3 linked regions of the Ovis aries genome follow. The protein of the gene in region 1 interacts with the protein of each later gene in a pairwise test. Links are inferred from orthologs where the notes say so. Each region holds a gene or a part of one and is shown in the gene's direction. Other genes may lie near its edges.

Region 1 (3,561 bases):
GAGGGGATTGCAGTTTTACATGGGGTAACTGAGGGGTGCCTAATTTAGCAGTGTTTGAACAGAGACTTGAGGAAGGTGAGCTATGCGAATACCTGGGAGAAGCATGTCCCAGGCAGAGGGGACAGGCAGCACAGAGGCAGGAGCGTGCTCATTTGGTGGGAGTGGCATGAGCAGGGGCAGAAGCGTAGACAAGGAGTAATGGGGCAGATCACAGCGCATTGCTGCTGCTGCTGCTGAGTCGCTTCAGTCGTGTCCGACTCTGTGCAACCCCATAGACGGCAGGCCACCAGGCTCCCCGGCCCCTGGGATTCTCCAGGCAAGAACACTGGAGTGGGTTGCCATTGCCTTCTGCAATGCATGAAAGTGAAAAGTGAAAGTGAAGTCATTCAGTCATGTCTGACTCTTCGCGATCCCATGGACTGCAGCCTACCAGGCTCCTCCGTCCATGGGATTTTCCAGGCAAGGGTACTGGAGTGGGGTGCCATCGCCTTCTCTGACATAGCGCATAGGTCACTGTTATCCTACACAAAGATGTAAGAGCAAAGTGTTCTGCAGCATTGTTTATAGCAGCAATAAATGGAGGTGGCATACCTGTCAGTGCGGAATGGTGATGCTTTGTGTAGTGGCTGGAGAGGATGAGGGTGACATCCTGGAGGCACAGGCTGCATGGAGAGGGCAGTGACCGTGGTGGATTGAAGTATGCTGGAGCTTCTGGAGTTGGGCTTTAGGGTGGTCCTAGTGGAGCCCATACTGACTCTGTTCTCAGTCTTCCCTGCAAGTAAGAGGCAAAGGACAGAGAAGTGCTGAAACCCCTTCAAACCCTAAACTCACCCAGTTGGGGAAAAGTCACCAGCTGGGAGGGAATCATCCAAATGTTGAGATCACACTCCATAGATTGCCTGCAAGGGCCAGGATGTCCAAGGACAGGGTGGGGAATTATTAAGTGGCTTCTCTGACTGTCCTCCTTGCTACCCCCGCCTCCCCATATGCTTCCCTGGCAGAGAATGGTCAAGAACCTGGAGAAGGAGCTAGCACTGCTCAAGCAGGAACTAGCCATCCATGACAGCCTGGTAAGGGGCTAGAGGTGATGGGCGGAATACTAGAGGGACTGGGGTCAGGGTACCAAGTGGGCAGAAGGACTAGGTGGGAGGGGGCAGTGGGTCAGGGCAGGGGTGGATCAGAGGGTGGGCTGGGTGAGCAGAGGGACTGGGTGGACAGGGGGCCCAGGGGCTGAGTAGACAGGGGACTGGGGGAACAGAGACTGTGGGGGCAGAAGGCCTGGGGGATCAGGGATGCCTGTTGGGCAGAGACTCTGGAAGAACAAGATGTGGGCAGGGCTGTCAGATGGTCAGGGAGCAGAGCCAGGCAGTAGGCAGGGGGATGAAGGGCAGGGGCCACAGGCCTGGCAGGTATGGGTACAGAGGCAGACAGCCTGATGACGGCTCAAGGTCAGGGAGGTGGACAGGCTGGATGGTTATTAGGGGCAGCAGGGAGTTGGAAGGTAGGGGTGGGGAGCAGGAGACCTCCAGTGCTGGTCTGAGCTCATGCTCATGGTCCAGAGGGTCTCAAGGCAGAGGCGCCCCCTCCCTCCTGTGGCCCTCATCCCACAGTCTGCTGAGGCTCAGCCAGCAGAGCCCCCCAGATTGGAGGAGCAGGCCCTTGTCTGGCAGCCTTTCCTTCCCTACCCCACCTGGTTGTCCCGTGCTGACCCGACTACCTGGCCTGTGAGTGAGGCCCTCCCTACCAGGACATGGTGATGAAGGGAGTAAAGTGGCTTGGGTAGCCAGGCTCTCTGCCCAGCCTCCCCACTTTGGTCCTCAGAATGGTCCCTGCCACCCTGCTTGGGCTCGGGTGCTTGGAGCTTAACAGTACGTTCCTCTTCCTTCTCCAAGGCCAACCGTACCCTCGTGAACTATGACCCTATGGATGAAATCCAGATTGCGGAGATCAACTCCCAGGTGCGAAGGTACCTGGAGGGAACACTGGAAGAGATTGACGTAAGGAGCCCTTCAGGACCCCCATGTCTGGCTGGCCCGGGCCTGTCTCCCGGCCACACCATGATGTATGCTGTGCTAGCCTGGGAACCTCACTGAGAGGGTGCAGTGGGTATAGCGTAGGTGGTGCTGGACTCCTGGCCTCAGGGCCCTTCAGCCCACTGAGGCCACAGCATCCATGTTTAGGGTCGCAAGGCTGTGGGTGCCCCACAGCCTTGAACACAGGGGAGGTGGTCCAAGCCTTGAATACAGTGGGGGTGGTCCATTACGGGGCCACCAGTACAGCTCCTAGAGCCAAGCTGCTCTGGGTCGAACCTCAGAGCTCAGCAGTCTCCCTGCTGAGTGGCATCATGAAAATGCTCAAGCTCGTGTACTCTGGTGGTCTGACCTGTACGGTAGGGAGGGAAACGGGCTGGGATGAACTGAGAGGCAGCACCTCAGGGGCTTGTCTGTGGCAGCAGAGGGGGGACATTAAAGGATGATGGTCATGCTGGTTGTCTACAAGGTGGACCCCTCTAGGGCCCATGCTGGAGTGGGCCAAGGAGGAATAGAGTAGCCACAAAGGGAAGGCTCTCAGGGGGAGAGAGGCATTCTGTTTTCAGAGCACAGGCTGGCAGGCCTCTCATCAGGGGTTCACGGCCAGAGCCTTGTCCAGCCTGTCATCGTCAGCAGCTGCCAGAGGCAGGCCTGGGACAGCTGAGGGCTCTTCTGGTCTTTCTAGGAAGGGCAGCCCCAGAATGACCGTCAAGGCTAATGCTAGAGGGCAATGGGGTCAAGAGAGGCCGATGGTCTCCCCTTTAGCCACAGGTGTGTGTATGTGTCTGGGCCCACACAGAATGGTTCATAATGGACCCTTTTGGAAGCAGGAGAGAGCTGAGGACAGTTAATTTTATTTAGATGTTTTCTTAGTACCTTCAAGAACTAGAGTCATTTCAATTTTATATATATCTTCAGTCAGAAAAGGTGATTTTTTTTTAATAGCTTCAATAAATAGCTTCCAAATTACTAATCAAGGGTTTCTCTGTTCTTGAGGAGGGCTTTACTGGCACTTTGCTGAGAGGGTGTTGGTACATGTCCCCTTCTTGAGACACATGGTCCAAGGCTTAGTCAAGGGGTCCTGATTTCTCTACAGACACAGCCTTAGTCCTGTGGTGCCCCTGGTCTAACCTCTGCCTTGCTCTCCTCTCCAGATAATCAACCTCAGACAGATCCAGGAGGTGTTCAACCAGTTCCGGATGGTGCTGAGGTAAGGGAGCCACCACACCCACCCAGTCCTGCATCAGGCTGCCATTCTCCTTTCCCATGGTCTGGGTGCTGGCCTCCAGGCGCTCTGCCTTCTGTCTGGTGTGCGCGGAGCTGGATCAGAGGCCTCTGGGTATGGCAGCCCTGGGTGATCCCAGCAGTCTGCCTCTGAGCTCTCAGGTCCTCCTACCCTCCCCTTCCTCTGGAAGTGGGGACAGCCCCCCTTTTAAGGGCTAAGCAGAGAGGAGGCAGTCCCTGGTTTCCTGAGTTTGTTCACTGGACAGGAGGTCTTTATGTGGCCAGAGCAGGGTGTTTTGATGCTCCT
Region 2 (4,286 bases), on another chromosome or scaffold:
AGCAACTGAACTGAACTGAACTGATTTCTTTCTTGCAACGAAGAGTTTATCACTAATCTGATGTGCTCTACTGAGGAACAAGTTTGTAGAACTCTTTTGCAAGTTTCAATTAAAGCTAAAAAAAAAAAAAAAAAACACCAAAATCTTTTCTATAACAATGCCCAGGTCTATCTAGGAGAATTATCAATGGGGATGCTAGTAAAATAGTCTGAGTACATTCAACATTCCTGATACCTAATGGTTTTCAAACACATTTTTAATGATCTGTGCAGAATGATGTGAGGAAATGGAACTAAATAGCAAAATAACTGGAGAGTAATATAGAAGTGATATTAAGAGATAGTTGTGTTTTGTATCCTATGAACTGTAGCCTGCCAAGATCCCCTGTCCATGAGATTGCCTAGGCAAGAATACTGGAGTGGGTTGTCATTTCCTTCTCCAGGGGATCTTCCCCACCTAGGGATCAAAACTGCATCCCCTGCATTGTAGGAACATTCTTTACCACTGTGCTCCTAAGGAAGCCCTTCTAGTAGAGAATATGGTCCTCAAAGCACATAATTAATTATGATGAAACCAAAGTAACAAACTTTGTCCAGTATAACTGAATATGACATGAGAGAAGTCCATCAAAGACTAAATATTTTGAAATTTTGAGTCTTGTTTGTTTTACTATATCACAGAACTTTTCAGTACTTTACTCCAACATAAGGAACTAGAAAACTAATTTATAAAATTGTTTCTATAGTAACAATGAAAATTCAGTGATTATAAAGATTTTAGCAAATACATAATCTGACGTCTGAACTCTGAATATTAGGGACATAAATATGTCAGAAGAAAGACTTGATCTACAATGAATTTTTGTATTTGAAAACACAAAATCTGCTATTCTTACTAGTTTTTTATTTTCTTTGAACTTAACCAAGAATTATTTTCTCTTATCTCAGCTTCTTGAGTTAGCCTCTTCAAAGAAAATGCAATGCTTGTGACCTGTAGAGGTTTAGAAAAGGTATCCCCGACTAAAATGAGTGCCTCAATAAAAGGAAAAATTCTGTACAGATCTCTTCCATTTGACGCTGCTAAACTTAAGTACAATAATGTCACATGTACTTATACAGTAATTGTGGGCACGCCTAAGTCCCTCCCTCTTTCCTAAACCAAATTCCCCAGATCCTAGAAATCCAGCCCTTCTGCCCTCCGGAGGCGCCTTTCCCAACGTAAAGTACAATTTAAAATTTAAGCTCCTGACTAAATAATGATTCCGTAGCCAACTGCTCGGGGATCTGGGCACCCCAGCGCCTCTGGAGCGTGCAGCGGGGTGTAGGGAAGGGCAGGGGGAGTGGGCGAAGCTGCTGGTTGGTGCCTGAAATCTGTGCGTTGCCCCTTTAATTGTGTCCCCAGCCCTCGGGCGTTTCTGTCCAACGCCCACGTCAGCAAATACCTTTTGTTTCTCTCACGTTGGGGCTACTTGTTTTGGGGCGCAAAGGAACGGCTTCGAAAGGGGGAATTTCCCCCGCCGAGAACCGGGAATCTTCCCCCCAGCCCGCGCGCGCGACCCGCCGTTGCGCCGCGGCCCGCGGTAAGTGGCTGCGCGCCGCGCGGGCGGAGGGCGGGCGGGGCGTCGGGGCAGCCTCGCACGGGCCCGCAAGCCTCGCTGCGGGCGGAGGCGCGGGCGAAGGCGCCGCGGGCTTTGCTCCCCGGGCGGTGGCGGCGGGATACGGCCCGGGCGCTGCGCCCCCAGACGTCCCCGGGCTGGGAGAGCGGCGGGAGGCGCAGAGGCGAGCGGGCGCCATTTGCAGCCCCGGGCGCAGCGGCGGTGGCGCGCCGGTCTGAGGGGCTGGAGACGGTCACAAAGGAGGCGCGGCCGGGCGGCCGGCGCCGAGAACCTGGCCTCGCTGCGGTGGCCGGCGAGGAGAGGCGGGCGGCGGCGGCGGGGCGCACCGGTTCCCGGACTGCGCGGCCGCCGCGCCCGCCCTGCCGCCCGGCCCTGTCCGCCTGCGCGCCCGGGAGGGGCTGCGGGACAATGGCCGCGCCGTCGCCGCCCGCGCCCGCCCGACCGCCCCCGCCGAGCGCCGCGCCCGCCTGGCCGCCCGGCCCGGCCCGGCCGTGGCGCGGGGAAAGGCGGGAAGGCGCGCGGAGCCTCCTGGCGGCGGTGGCGGGAAGGCGGCGCGGGGCCGGTGCCGGGCGTGTCTGGAGCCGTCGGGCGCCGCAGACTCCCGGAGGGTCGGCGGCCGGCGGGGCTCGGGCTGCGCGGCCAGTGATGGGTGGCCCGCCGGATGGGGCGGCCGAGGTCTGGGGCTTGTCACTTGCGGCCAGGAGTCCGAGTTTCTCCGTACATCTTCCATCCTTTGGTTTTATATCGTGACGCGACAGATCCGGGCTTAGAACCCAAGCAGACTTACTATACCTAACTAATATTGTGCTGTAATTACTGTTTTATGACGGACTCACACATACGCACCTTCTGCCCATGTAGACGGCATCTTTTGTAAGTTAATAGCGGTTTGGCACCTTCGCCTTCAAATGCGCTTATTTATTATTGATTGTGCCAGTAGCCAGGTTCTGTATCTTTCAAAGGCGGTTCCCCCCCGCCCCCGGCTTTCGTTTTTCTTTTAAAATTGAAATATAGTAGACATATAACCTTATGTTAGGCTTAGTACAAAATGCGTTTGCAAGCGGTAGATTCTCACCTATTGGGCTTTTAAACTACGCACATCAGTATTACTTCTGTTCTTAATAAGCCTCTATATTTGAAGAACTTTAGTAAATGGAGTGCTTTCGCCTATATGAATTATTTCACTTATTTTCGCATAAAACAACCATCTAGTCAGGCCGGTGGTTTTTCCACTTTCTAGGTGAGGAAACGCATTAAGCATTTAAACGTTAAGCCAGGAGGTGAACAGTGGCAGGCTTCCAGCGCCCTTGCCTCCTGTTCTTGCTCTTCATTTCCTCCTAAAGTCACCTCCATATTCTTTAAGTAAGCAAGTCATATCATTCCCATGCTCTAAAGCCCTTAACCGATCTTATCAGAAACAAGTCTAAAATCCTCAGCAGAATAAACCTTAGGCTCAAAACTTCCTCTCTAATCTTCCCCGAGTCTCAGATAAGGCTTGAATTTGTGGGACCCCTGGAGCAAGAGCCCTTCACTGAAGGGCTGTCAGGCAGAGTATAACCAGGAATCAGATACCTTTATTCCTGGTAGTGCCCCTGGCCACACAAATGGTAAATGGGAAGTGAGAATCTAACCTGCCACCCCCGGCCAAATGGGCATGTTTGGGTTAGGCTGTGAAATATTAGACCGGGGCATCCTGAGTACCTTGGCTTCTTTCAAGTCCTGAATTCCCCATGAAAGAGAGCAGCCTGCCAGAACTTATCTTGTGGCCTTGAAATCACCAGCTCTGCTGTTGATGATGATTTGAGCCCCCAAACTTTGTAAGATAGGGTAATACTTGATTCATCCTGTATCATTTAAATCTTATTTTCTAGATAAAATGGAATTTATGTCTAATAGGCTTAACCTTTTCAGTGACCTATCTGTTTATAATAAAGAATTTGGTGCGAGTGTTTTGATCCCCTTGAGGAAAGTTCCTGTCACTTTTTTGCTTAGAGTTGGTCAGTGGCTCCTCATCTTCAGTGGGTCCCCGTCTTACTCAGACCAAAAGCCCAAGGCCCTAAAGAGTCTACCAAGTCCACAGGAACTGGTCCCACGATGTCCTGTGAATGTCGCTCAGTTGTGTCCGACTCTTTGCAACCCCATGGACTATACAGTCCTTGAAATTTTCCAGGCCAGAATACTGGAGTGGGTAGCCTTTCCCTTCTCCAGGGGATCTTCCCAACCCAGGGACTGAACGCAGGTCTCCCGCATTACAGGGAGATTCTGTACCAGCTGAGCCACAAGGTGAGCCCCGGGATGTCCTACTGCCCCACAATCTATTGTTCCTTTCTGACTCCGTCTTTCCTTACTCTCCCCAGCCCTCCATTTTCTACATTTCTTTTAGCTCCCCGACTCGGGATCCAACCCATACCCCTTACATTGGGAGCACTGAGTCTTAACCACAGGAGTGCCCGGGAAGTCCTCCCCAGCTCTTGATGTTTCTCCAACCTCCTTGCCTGCTTCTCTTCAGAGCCTTTGCGTTTGTTGTTCCATCTGCCTGGAACACCCTTCCTCCAGATATCTGAATAACTCTCTTACCATCTTTGGACTTTACTTTAAATGCCATCGTCTCACTGACTTTCCTCAACTATGGTTTTTATTTTTTTAACATTTTTATATGTAATTCTGATTC
Region 3 (4,055 bases), on another chromosome or scaffold:
GTTGACTAAAAGGAACACAGAAGAGGAAAAAAGGATTACCAATCTAGCCCAGACATGGAAACAGGCAGGAAAAAGTGAGTTGAAGCAGAGAAATGATCACAGGTGATGAAGGATTCCGTTACCTATGGAGGGAAAAAAATCAGCTACCAGAATACACCTAGCAACAGTTGCTTTTCAACTATTCCTCAGACTGGAAGTTTCCAAGATTTAAGCCTTGAATGAGTCACAGAATTACCGGGCAGAACTAAGAGCCAAATAACTAATCTCCTAAAATAGAGAACAGAAACTTAATTTTCAACTGCCTTGAAGATTCTTTGTTGCTGGAAGGTGCATGGGTAATTGAAGGCAAGAGTACTTACACAGCTTGCCCTAATCATTCCGTTCATTTGTGGTCCCACTGGAATCCAGACCAGGGTTTTACACTGTTGGGTTTTTACTTTGTTTCATTTACACTTTTGCATTCTGCTGCTAAGTCGCTTCAGTCGTGTCTGACTCTGTGCGACCCCATAGACAGTAGCCTACCAGGCTCCCCAGTCCCTGGGATTCTCCAGGCAAGAATACTGGAGTGGGTTGCCATTTCCTTCTCCAATGCATGAAAGTGAAAATTGAAAGTGAAGTCGCTCAGTTGTGTCCAACTCCTAGCGACCCCATGGACTGCAGCCTACCAGGCTTCTCCGTCCATGGGATTTTCCAGGCAAGGGTACTGGAGTGGGGTGACGCTGCCTTCTCCCTTTTGCATTCTACCTCCCCTGAAAACGGAGAAGAAAAACACGTAGTGCATTTTCCAAATCTCCACTTTTGGAGAGCTTTAAGAGTTGCAACTGTCCAGATGAGGCAGTAGGGTGTGCACGGTGCCGCCCAGAAAATTCTATATAATAAAAAATCTGGGAGTTGGACAAAACAAAACATGGATTTTCAGTTTTAAGTGGGCGTGTCCACGTCACGAAGGGCGTGAAAGCAAAAGAGACTGAACAATCTAAGGGAAGGAGAAGGAACGTAGAGAACCATGGAATGTGAGTGCAGGGGATGGAAAAGGGATTCCAAGACACCAAAGGAGCAAGAAAAAGAGCAGAGTACGGATCATTGGTATCTGGCTGACATTCGCCCGGCGACCTGCCAAAACCGGGAGGCACGAGCGCGCACTACAACTACCATAAGGCCCCGCTTCCTGGAGCCCGAGGCGCGGCGCGCAACGCACGCCGGGAGTCGGCCCAAGCCGCCAAGATGTCGCAGCCCAAGAGAAGAAAGCTTGAGTCGGGGGGCGGCGGCGAAGGAGGGGAGGGAACTGAAGAGGAAGATGGCGGAGAGTTGGAGGTGGCTGTGCCGCGACCCCGGAGGACTAGGCGGGAGCGGGACCAGCTGTACTACCAGTGCTACTCGGACGTATCGGTCCACGAGGAGATGATTGCCGACCGCGTCCGCACCGATGCCTACCGCCTGGGCATCCTGCGGAACTGGGCAGCGCTGAGAGGCAAGACCGTGCTGGACGTGGGCGCGGGCACCGGCATCCTCAGCATCTTCTGTGCCCAGGCAGGGGCCCGGCGCGTGTACGCGGTGGAGGCCAGCGACATCTGGCAACAGGCCCGGGAAGTGGTGCGGCTCAACGGGCTGGAGGACCGGGTGCACGTCCTGCCGGGACCGGTGGAGACGGTGGAGTTGCCGGAGCAGGTGGATGCCATCGTGAGCGAGTGGATGGGCTGCGGACTTCTGCACGAGTCCATGCTGAGCTCTGTGCTCCACGCGCGGACCAAGTGGCTGAAGGAGGGCGGTCTTCTCCTGCCGGCTTCCGCCGAGCTCTTCGTGGCGCCCATCAGCGACCAGATGCTGGAGTTGCGCCTAAGCTTCTGGAGCCAGATGAAGCAACTCTACGGCGTGGACATGAGCTGCCTGGAGAGCTTCGCCACGCGCTGCCTCATGGGCCACTCAGAAATCGTGGTGCAAGGCCTCTCCGGCGAGGATGTGCTGGCCCGGCCGCAGTGCTTTGCTCGGCTAGAGCTGGCCCGCGCCGGCCTGGAGCAGGAGCTGGAGGCCGGGGTGGGCGGTCGCTTCCGCTTCAGCTGCTACGGCTCGGCTCCCTTGCACGGCTTTGCCATCTGGTTCCAGGTGACCTTCCCCGGAGGGGACTCGGAGAAACCCGTGGTGCTCTCCACCTCGCCTTTTCACCCCGTCACGCACTGGAAGCAGGCGCTCCTCTACCTGAACGAGCCGGTGCAAGTGGAGCAAGACACGGATGTTTCCGGAGAGATCACGCTGCTGCCCTCCCAGGACCACCACCGTCACCTGCGGGTGCTGTTGCGCTACAAAGTGGGCGACCAGGAGGAAAAGACCAAAGACTTTGCCATGGAGGACTGAGCGTGGTCTTCTCTCCCAGCTACCTCCCAAGGAAGCCAGGCACGGAAGAGGCGGAGGGTTGGTCGGCGGAGTAAAGGAGATTTCACGTGCAAGTAGGGAGCGTTATCTTCCGTCTCCCTTTACCCCAGGGCTCCTGGGGAGGGAGAGTGACTTCAGTCTCGCTTCGTGGAGATTCTTCTGGCGATATTTATTAAAAAGTGTTTTCGATCCCCTGACACGACCGAAACAGCGTGTTTATTAAGGGCCCGTTAAACCTCAAAAGCACGTGGTACCAAGCACTCCTTTTTCTATTTCTTTTGTTTCTTGTAAATTAAAGGGGGAAAAGGGTATGAAATTATCAGTTTGTGAAGGTTCCATTCACTTCCCTGACACCTCACACCCTAAGTCTAAAGCCAGGGAAAGGGAAAAAGGGTTTATAGTTAGACTCCATGTATTTCCAATAAGACGGGATATCACTCCAGAGCCATATTCTCTCATTTTCTGAATTCCCTCTCTTCCCAGGTGCCTCTAGACTACAGTATTTTGTCCTCTTTTTTTAATAAGTTTTACTACTGATAACGTGGGGGAGGTGAATGAGGGTAAAGTTTAAATAACACCTACTTCCTTAAGATGCTAAAGTTGATGACACCTTACTCCATTAAGTGAAATAAACTTCATTCGTACTAGTACAGCATACCTAAGAAATCTAGAAGGGTACGTGTTGGAGAAAAAGACCTGAAATACAGTAAAGTCGTATGGACTTTTTGTCTTTACTGTTAAGATTTAACCAAGAAAATTTCATGTAAGTTCCATAGTAAAAATTTTGTGTGCTTTATAACAAACTAGTAGAGGCGATTTCTTCTGAACTTGGTCCAAGGGTTTATTTATCACCTTGGGTAAATTATTTAAGTAAGGAAAATATTTTCCCAGCTCGAGAATTAAAATCCCTCATTCAGGGGGATCATGTGATTTGGCCTACTAACATCAAGTGAAAATGTTTTTGTTAGTGTTTTGTTTGTTTTCTGTTTATTTAGGTCAGCTAAATGTGAAAGTTGTGAATTTAGGAAAATCATTTGTAATGTGAGTTATGTTATCAAATTTATTTTACCCATGTTTCCCTCCTCATCTCTGGCAAATAAAGCACTGGCATTCTCTATTTTTATAGATGAAGTAAGAAGTCTTGTGTACTGTTTGAGTTATAACTTTTGCCTTTTTAGTATTGTTCTTAAAAATGGTGTTATAACCCCTACAGAGCATAGCTTAAGGATAATCAACTATGCTTAATGTATGGTTTCTTTACACTAGTAGCTTTAGTATGCTAATAGAAAGCAGGTGTGAAAATCTGATCTGAAGCAGCTCTGTTGCAACAGTTTTTTCTTCTTTATTCATCACTTATTAATATACTTAAATATAACTAATTTGCTAAAATTTGGTATCAACACATGAGATCTGCCATTAGTAAGGGAACTATACATGTACAAAATCATCAGCTTTACAAGATCCTTGACTTGCAATACATTTATAGTTGTCACCACTGTTGGTATTAGGATAGTTAGCTTATGCAAATGGTACAGTCATAGCAATTTAGGCCTGGTTTAAACTAGAGTTACAAATTGGTTCCTTATGTTAAAGTCAACTATATTTTATGTTGAACATTTATTAGCATTTTAGTGTACAGTTTTGAGTGAATTCCACTGTTTATTTTAACTTCGTACCACAATCTG

What was found.
Region 2: the proteins of KIF9 (region 1) and ZBTB8A interact in binary tests that used the Homo sapiens proteins (3 or more experiments, as listed by UniProt). The two-hybrid records come from large-scale screens. The link is inferred for Ovis aries from reciprocal best matches to the Homo sapiens genes KIF9 and ZBTB8A.
Region 3: the proteins of KIF9 (region 1) and PRMT6 interact in a two-hybrid assay, tested with the Homo sapiens proteins (2 studies listed by BioGRID and IntAct). The link is inferred for Ovis aries from reciprocal best matches to the Homo sapiens genes KIF9 and PRMT6.

What each region holds. Positions count from the first base shown.
Region 1 is NC_056072.1:52,384,423-52,387,983, forward strand, and holds part of KIF9 (kinesin-like protein KIF9), read left to right. Parts: intron 1-591; exon of another isoform or gene 592-772; intron 773-1,001; coding exon 1,002-1,070; intron 1,071-1,892; coding exon 1,893-1,997; intron 1,998-3,184; coding exon 3,185-3,240; intron 3,241-3,561. UniProt on the Homo sapiens protein: Essential for normal male fertility and for progressive motility of spermatozoa.
Region 2 is NC_056055.1:235,067,188-235,071,473, reverse strand, and holds the start of ZBTB8A (zinc finger and BTB domain-containing protein 8A), read left to right. Parts: upstream 1-1,432; 5' UTR 1,433-1,579; intron 1,580-4,286. UniProt on the Homo sapiens protein: May be involved in transcriptional regulation.
Region 3 is NC_056054.1:84,387,571-84,391,625, forward strand, and holds PRMT6 (protein arginine N-methyltransferase 6), read left to right. Parts: upstream 1-1,201; 5' UTR 1,202-1,224; coding exon 1,225-2,352; 3' UTR 2,353-3,501; downstream 3,502-4,055. UniProt on the Homo sapiens protein: Arginine methyltransferase that can catalyze the formation of both omega-N monomethylarginine (MMA) and asymmetrical dimethylarginine (aDMA), with a strong preference for the formation of aDMA.